Linked DNA regions of Nothobranchius furzeri. The protein of the gene in region 2 interacts with the protein of the main gene of each other region in a biochemical or structural test. Links are inferred from orthologs where the notes say so. Each region holds a gene or a part of one and is shown on either strand. Other genes may lie near its edges.

Region 1 (4,421 bases), on a different chromosome or scaffold from region 2:
TGAATTATTTTTCTAATGATCTCTTCTGTATTTCTTGTTATTTTGTGGAATTTTTTGTGTTCCACATTTATACCTAAAATGTGTTTTCTTTAAAGTAATCATTACAAAATAATTAGTTTTAAACGTTTTTTACAGATATTTTGTTGAACTCCATTTACATTCAGGGGATTTTCACACTTCAGCCCAGAGCTCTTCACCAGTTGCATACTCACCTGCTAGAATAAACCGTGCAACGCAGCTGGCATGGACCGCTAGCCTACTTTAGCAGCACCAAAAGCTTGCTAAAAAAGCTTTTAACTAGATTATAAACAGGGCATCATGCTGAAACTTGCTAATTCAAACATCTTCTAACCTTGTTTCATGAAAGTGACTTGACTGATTGAAATTCACAAAACACTCAAAAGCAGATCCCCTGATGTTTAACCCTTTCATGCACTATGGTCAGACAGAAGCTGTCGGGATACTTGCAATTAAGCCACCACTTTGATTCTAGTGCATCACTTTATTGGCTGCTAATTATGTCTGTGAATTAAGTTTCAATGGCATTTTTATCATTTAATTAAGATAATTATGGGGCGATGGTGGCAGAAGAGTTGCGTGCCTACCCAGTAATCCTAAGGTTGAAGGCTCGAGCCCCGCTCATGGCTAGGTTGTGTCTTTGGGCAAGACCCTACACCCCCCTTGTCTGCCGATGGTGGTTGGAAAGGGAGTGGCCGGTGGCCTCGCCCCTGTCAGTGCGCCCCAGGGCAGCTGAGTCAATAATTTGTCGATTTTTCACAAATCTAAATGCATGTTTGAGTGGATATTTGAAAAAAAGTTTTGAAGGAAACAAAGTTCAAATTCAGTTTAAACGTATGTGTTTTGCACCTAAAGATGAATAAGGATGGTTGGGGTGGAGAGGGTGTGTGTGTGTGTGTGTTTATGTATATTCATTTAGGAGACGCTTTTATCCAAAGCGACTTACAATTTATAACCTATAGGGCATGTTGTGATCTGTGGGGGAAACCGGAGTATCCGGAGGAAACCCACGCATGCATGGGGAGAACACGCAACTCCACGCAGAAAGGCCGCAGTTGAGCCGAGTTTCGAACCTGCAACCTTCGTGCTGCCAGGCAACAGTGCTAACCACTGCGCCACCGTGCAGCCCGTGTGTGTGTGTGTGTGTGTGTGTGTGTGTGTGTGTGTGGAGGAGGGGGGGGGGGGTCCACCCTTGACCTCTGTCATAATTCATGCATGAATGAGCAAAACTACCACGGCCTTTAATGTGTGTTCACTTTTCAGCGGACCCATTTTCACTGGCAAGACGAGGAGAAGCACACATGTACTAACAAGGGCAGCATTCCAAACATGTGGCTGCACACTTTGGTTGTTCGAATACTAATGAGCAGAACCTCTAAATGGGATGCAGCCACAGTAGACTTTCTCTACTCTCTCATTTAGAGCTGTACAATATAAGAAACTATTATAATTCTGTTGAATATAATCATTACTGTATAACTTCTTATACATTCATAGTTTTGTCACGTAAATTTCCGCATGCTGATTTTTGATTTAACACACTGTCTACATTCAATAAAACATGTCAAAAGGGCTCATATTGTTTCTCCTCAGCTCATCTGTACCTGTACCTCTTACTCATATCTGTCATCCTTCACCTGCACTCACTCATCTGCACGTCCACTACCAGATCCTCGTCTTTATCACCCTGTCACTTTTAATTGTTAGGTATTTTTTTCATCCTTGCACCTTTCTGGACTATCACCTGCCTGCTATGCACCTTTTGGTCTAAATCATTTAATAAACCGCCAAACTCGGCCATGTTTCCCTTAGCATAACGGACATATAGCGGATGAGACATCTTTACTGGGCATGTCAAATGTTTAACAACACTAAAAACCCAAGAGATTAATGAAATAAGAGCATGGAGCTGAGCATGGCTAGAGTAACCTGCATGCTTCTGAAGGGCGTGTCTCAAGCACAAAGAGGACAGTTAAAACAATCTAAGACAGCTCCAAGGAGCAAACGTTCTGAGGATCTCTGCTAAAACAGAAACCCGGCGTTGGCTGCGTGATGAGTGAGATTACTCCAGGGTGAAGAGGAGAAACAGCTTGCTACTGATCAGAAACAGTCTTTTTAGTGATCACCACGGAGCTGGAGCTCATGCAGCAAGGTGCACTTCATAAACGTGCACATGCTTTCATGACGGCAGAGGGAAACAAAAAATAGGCTACAAGGTCCAAGCGTCTCTCTGCAAAGGCACAAAGACGCGCAGCCAGAGCACGTTGGGCCGCTGTCACGCGCGATAATCTCCCGAATATCGCTCAAATTTGGGTCAATCAGAAAGTAAAAGCGTTTCCACAGCAAACCCCCGCTCATCGCTGCGACCCCCACACACTCCGGCCTCGGATGGATTGATGCACAGCCAGCTGAGATGAAATGGGGGGGGGATCCCGTTCTCAGTGCAGAATCAACGCAAGCGCGCAAAATCCCATCAGCGCTTCACGAGAATTACAAAGACACCATTCACACCACACGTTTTAGTAAACTGGCGCTAAATAAATCTGTTAAAAACACATCTGGCGCACTCATCCACTCATGTACTACATCCGGCCATATTCCCAGCAGGCTGTCACATTCCAACAATTTTCCCGTCAAGCATTTTGAACAGATGAGAGGTGCAGAGACGGGCTCTAGCGAGAAGAGGAAGCGGTAGGAATGACATTGCGCCTGCTTACTGTAAAATAAAATCCCTCGGGGATGGAGAGTCTCCTTTCTTCCCACTTGACTCTCGACGTGCGAATTTCCCGAGATTCAGACCATGCAGAGCAGGCAGACGGTCATTCCACCCCTCCGAAGTCTTTGCTCCAGCTCGGTTAGTGAGAAGAAAGCCTGCATCAGACAGAGGGGAGACGCCAGCTGTGGGGAGGAAATGATGTGGGAAGGTAGGAGCGGCTGGGCCGGAGCACTGCGCACAGGAGGCAAGGAGAGCGGCAGAGGTGCTTCCCCTCCCTTCCGCGCCCTCCCTCTCTCTCTCTCTCTCTCTCTCTCTCTCTCTCTCTCTCTCTCTCTCTCTCTCTCTCTCTCTCTCTCTCTCTCTCTCTCTCTCTCTCATTGCTCACAATAAAACATCCTCCCCATCCGTGCCAGACAGACTGGCAGACCGCTTGGGTACCAGCGTCAGCAGCGACACCCACTGGTGATGGAGATTATTACTTATATATGGAGAACTGTTAGTGCCACAGGCGTGCAACAGCTGGTTAGTGTTTGCTCCATGGCAGCAAAGCTTAGAACAACATTGAGCACCTCTTAAGTCGAGGCTTTGGTCCCGATGTATGTGATTTTCAATGGGAGGGGGGGGGGGGGGGGGGGTTAAGCTGAGATAGGTTTATGATCCTTTTTCCCTTTTTCCTGTGTTAGTATGAAAAAATTATTCAATCGAATAAAAAAGGCCTACTTTAAACTTTTACTCCACTAAAGCAGTTATCAGTACTTTTTACTCCACTACATTTTCTAAAAGTTTCTAAATAAAAGTATTTTAATTTTCATTTTGTCCGACCACCACTGTTCTTGTCAATGGTGGACGTTACTATGGCAATAGTACTTTAAACTGCGTTGTGCCCCTTCCGCTGGTCTGACACAAGCCCCCATAATTCGGGTCTGAAACTGAAGCCAACACGGAAGTGAAAAAAATTGCAGTTCTACCCTCATCCACTAGGGGCTGGTGTCAGAAGCGAGCAAATCCTCATTAACTCCCATGTTAAAAGTACCAAATTCACAGCAGAAATAAACATGTTCACAGCCTGGTTCCAAAACTTGTTTTAGGTTTAAATGATCTAGTTTACACTCATGACAACTCTGAGGGGGCAGAATTTTGTCACTCTTCTGTTTAAGTGTATTAAATGCCTAAAATTCTGAATAATTAATGAGCATCAGGCCCACGTGACTGCAGCGCTAGCGCTGGGGAAAGGCCTCAGCCTGAGCCTCGGCCTCGCCTGAAAACTGTTCCGCCATTTTCAGTCTCTCAACTTAGACCATTAGTTGAAGCATTTGTGCGTTCCTTTTTGGATATTATTTGGACAGGCGCCGCTGCGATCAGAGATGCGCCGAGCTGCCGCTGAGGGGAGGGGACCATACCGATAGTCGGAACCCAGCTCCACAAACATGTCATATCTCAACACATTTTCAAAAACGCAGCGTTATGTTAAATGCACTGGGTCTTACCCTACATTTAAATTTCATGGTTAAACAGTACATGTTAAAATCTAGGCTCAGCTAGTGCAAGAGCGGCAGTGACCTAAATACAGTAAAAAAATCATTATTTTAACAAAATATCCCTTATAAAATCACACTAAAAACGTGCATAAAATAATGAGGCAGTATGTAAATTTAACAAGTAAACAACATTGTAATTTACTGTATGT
Region 2 (4,530 bases):
GAAACAACTAAACTAAAGATCTAAAAGAAGTTTAGCAGCAAATGTTGTGAAAACTACTATTTGTGTCATTCTCAAAACTTTTGGCCACGACAGTAGATTAAACAGAGATGGAGGTCTGGAGATTCAGCTGACTCAGAATCTGACCTCCAGGCAGTTTCACATCAACCCACATCATCAGAAACGGGATCAAAACATCGGAAACACAAAGGTTCTAATGGCCCTCAGGAGAAGGCCTGAGGGGAGTGATTTGTAATCTAGCTGGAAACAGAGTTGTTTAAAAGCTTTTAATGCTGCATTTTTTTTTTGTTTGAATCAAAAACTCTGAAGAGGAAAACCAAAATCTCCCCAATGAAGGTAATGACCACAAAGAAGCAACATATCAAAGCACAAAGAGGACTCAAATGCAGAGCTCACCCAGTTTTAATAAGCAGAAGGGATTCCTGGAGTACAACACAACTGAAAAGTCCAAATCTAACTGAATACACTTTTACCAAGTGTTTCTGAGAGCAGGTTCACATCACACAACAGGAGAAGACAAACTGGCAAAGGAAACTGTTGCAAAGACGCTTAAATGGAGAAGCCAGGACCCAGGTGCAAGACATGAGGCTGATTAGTGAGGAGCCTCATGTCGTGAAGCTGCCTGTAATGAGACAGGAAGTGAATGCACAAAATAAAACAGGAAGTACCAGAAATACAATAAAATCAGAAACAAGACTGCAAAGCACTCAACCTGCAGAATCACCCATGACACAACAGAACAACGTGGCAACAGCAGAAACCCGGCAAAGGGACAAAACTGAGGAGTATTCCTGCAGGGAGGGACGGTCCAGGTTAGATAATGGTACCAATAACTCTTAAAGAAATTCAATAATGTCACCTTCCTTCTACACTCAGTCTAATTTGAATCAAAACAAACCATTCTCTGAGCTTAACGTCCACAGGAGCCACATCAAAAACCAAAGATGAAGCTTCAGCAAACGTTTAAACTAATGCAACGACATCAGACGGAAACACAAACACGATTCGTAAACATCTAATAAGGGTTCAGTGATGGGACATAGATGTTGCTGAATATTAATGCTGCAGTTTGTGGACGGTCCCTAAACCCTCATTTCACATCCGGTGTTGTGCTGACTTCTGCTTCCCCATTAAAACCAACCCTCTCAGGCTTACACAGGCAACATAACACCTTCCGCACATAAACACCAATCATATATCAAATTCCTGCCACAACAGTTTTATACCTGGCCCTGACTGGGGTCTGTAGGATGGAAATGCACACCAACGTGATTAATTCACAAAAGAAAGCTACGGCATAACCTGCCGTTAAATGGAACAAACAATGTTTTAATCAACAAGTCTGCTGGAGTTTTCCTCCCTACGCATTTCAGAACATGCTCCCTGATCCACCGGTACATGTGTCAGGCCGTGTTCATACGTGGAAAATGCACATGAAGGAATGACCAAATCCCCATTCACATGTTTGTGATTTCTCCATGACGAGCGTGATGACGAGCATGTTCGATGCAATATACACACATGTAGACACGGAGCTCCCCTCAAGCCTGCAGACTCTGAGCTAACATGCAAATCAGAGGCAGCAACAGAGAGATGGAAAAGAGAAGAACGTCACAAACACAGAGGTGAATTTACCTACCACACATGGGCAGAGAGAAGGGAGCTTAGTGCGGCCCTTCATGAGCAAGAGACAGAGGAAAAACAGCCTCCCAGACACCCGCAGTAAAGGAGGGGAGGGATGGGGAGAAAGAAAGAAAGAAAGAAAGAGAGAGAGGGGGGGGGGTGCGAGGCTGGGGAAGGGGAAGAGGAAATAAAAAGAGAGGGAGGGCGAGACAAGAGGAGGGAGGGACGTGTCGTACCAGACGAGGAGCGAGAGTTTTCCTGGAAGCCAGAGTTGTTGCTGTTGGATATATCTTGATATTAAAGGCAAGAGGCTGAAAAGACGGGACGAGCGGTCTGCTCCGACCGTGACTCATAAAAATATGTTGGCTGCTGCCGATGAGTGAGGGAGGGACAAGGAGAGGAGACGTAGAGACAGTGAATCAACCCTCCGTAGTATGTTATCATCGCTGCCTCTTTCTTTTGCTCCTGCGCTGAAACAATGTCAGAAATAAAGAGCCCATAGAAAAGTGTCTGTTACATAAGAGGGAACTTGTTTCATAAATATTCAACATGCAGATTTCTGACACTTCTGTGCATCCATATCATTTTATTCTCTGTGCAGATCCTCCTTCACACGTCTTCATTTATCAGACTCATGCTGCTGATCCTCCTCGAAGATCCTGAACGACTACAAAGTTTTGGCCATTATTGGAGCCAGTCTAGTCTCTCCCGAAGGGGAAAAAGTAGATTCCTACAGAAAACTGGTCCAACATTGATGTCTGTCCTGCTTTTGCAGAATTCCCACGAGAATCTTAACAGGATGGTTTGTTGGGATGATAACACTCTGAGCTGTCCTGCTAAAACTTTTAAATTCTAAGGTTTGGTGGAAGACGTTTTCTGAGGTGAGCGAGACAGAGGAAGGACTGAAGCACTCATCCATCCATGGTCTTATATGTAACCAGGTTGCAGAGACTGCAGCCTTAGCAGAGATCCCTACACCTCCCCCCATTTCCCCAGCGACCTCTTCCAGCCCTACCGAGGGAAAACCAAAGCATTCCCACACCAGCTAGGAAATCTAACTACTCCATTCCTACTAAATCTGTTTGGAGGCCTCCTCCTGGTGGGTCATGCTGGAAACAGGTACCCAGAGGACATCCTTAGCAGATGTGCCAATGATCTCAGCTGGCTCACGCTGATGCAGAGGAGCCGTGATTCTCCTCGGCACTGATGAGCTGCTCAGATGAATCTGAACTCACTCTTCTCCACAGGAAGATGGTAATGTCCACATCATCGATGTTCAGGGACCATTTGGGTTTCATGGACCAACAGTGATCTTCCAGAACGCCTAGCAGTAACAACTGGAAGTGAGGTGTGCAGTCACAAGCATTCTTTAAGTCCACAACGTAAAAACTGGGATGTTTATGCTAGCATGTTCTTGAGTAACTGACAAGTGCGTTCTTGATAAGTACAGGAGAAAGTCCGTTCTAACGAATACGGGGGTACAAGGACGGCATTTGGATCTGAACCGTACTCCATTACGTCACGGCATGTTGAAGAAAAATATGTTACTTTTTCATCAAACAGAGCTGTTTAAAGCTACGTTGGTTTTATTTTAATAGTGGATGAGCTAAGTTTCATTTTGAGGTATTATAAAACCCACACAGCAAATGTATGGGTTACACGCACAGTTATCTATGGTGGGCTACACAGTTGTTAGCGTTAGGTTTACATTCCAACCTGGGGTCTTTCTGCATGGAGTTTGCATGTTCTCGCTGTGCATGCACAGGTTCTGTCCAGGTACTCCCACTTCCTCCCACAGTCCAAAAACATGACGTTCAGGTTGACTGGTGTCTCTAAAGTGTCCTTAGGTGTGAATGTTTGCATGGTTAATTGTTTATCCTGTGTGTCTCTGTGTTGCCCTGCGATGGACTGGCAATCTGTGCAGGGTGTACCCGCTTTTATACCCGTAGACTGCTGGAGATAGGCACTAGCCCCCCGTGACCCTGCGTGGACAAGCGGGTACAGATAATGAATGGATGGATGGACAATTATCTACAATAAGAAACAACTTTTAATTTATTTTTCTAGACTTCATTATTTGTATTTTTGACATGAATACTCTAGAGCTACGAGCTTTCTCCTATGCCATTTTCAGTTTGAGGTACAACGGTTTGTAATCCTAAGCATGATGAATTACAAGCCACTGTCCTTGCAGGCCCAAGTCTGCAGAAGGTTGCGTTGACGCAATCTTGAGGGAACTTGCCATGGTAGATTGGAACAATACTTGGGCCAGTGTTGATGATGATGCCATTTTCAGTGACGTTTCACAAGTACGCATATTGAGAAACTTGTCACGTTTCGGGGATGTTTAGGACCCAAATATGCAGATACCCAGGAGGACATGAGGCAGGAGTAAATATAAGGAAAAAATTATTTTATTAGAGTTTTAACAAAAATAAATCCAAGGCAACGAGCCTAAAGTCCAAAGTCCTGGAGCACAGGACACCCAAAGCTCTCAAAGAGCACGAAGACCAAAGACTTTGAAACAGAAGCTCACCTAGAGCACAAAGTCTGGGGACGAGACAAAAAGCTCATAAAGAGCACAAACAAACGCAGACAGAATACAAACAATGGGCCGACAAGAGACTGAGACAAGACAGGGCTTAAATACACAGGGAGGATGAGAGGGAGATGAGCTGCAGGTGAGTGGGGTGTGGGAGGAGGACCAGGTGAAGGCAATGACTAATCAGGGGAGAAACTCACTTGACCTAAGAATAAAACCTAATACAAAAGAGCAGGAAACATGACTACAATTCAAAGGGAGGGTGGGAGAAAAATAATAAACACTGATGGGAAAAAAAAACATAATAAATCATGAAAGGCTGTAACTAAAGGAAATGACTTGATAAA

The links.
Region 1: the proteins of disks large homolog 4 (region 2) and ctnnd2b interact in a test that uses a peptide from one of them, tested with the Homo sapiens proteins (2 studies listed by IntAct, with this or other methods). The link is inferred for Nothobranchius furzeri from reciprocal best matches to the Homo sapiens genes DLG4 and CTNND2.

Annotation. Positions count from the first base shown.
Region 1 is NC_091751.1:61,421,807-61,426,227, forward strand, and holds the start of ctnnd2b (catenin delta-2b), read right to left. Parts: upstream 3,026-4,421; 5' UTR 2,736-3,025; intron 1-2,735. UniProt on the Homo sapiens protein: Has a critical role in neuronal development, particularly in the formation and/or maintenance of dendritic spines and synapses. Involved in the regulation of Wnt signaling.
Region 2 is NC_091750.1:46,441,640-46,446,169, reverse strand, and holds the start of disks large homolog 4, read right to left. Parts: upstream 2,856-4,530; 5' UTR 1,995-2,855; coding exon 1,878-1,994; intron 1,787-1,877; exon of another isoform or gene 1,700-1,786; coding exon of another isoform or gene 1,658-1,699; intron 1-1,657. UniProt on the Homo sapiens protein: Postsynaptic scaffolding protein that plays a critical role in synaptogenesis and synaptic plasticity by providing a platform for the postsynaptic clustering of crucial synaptic proteins.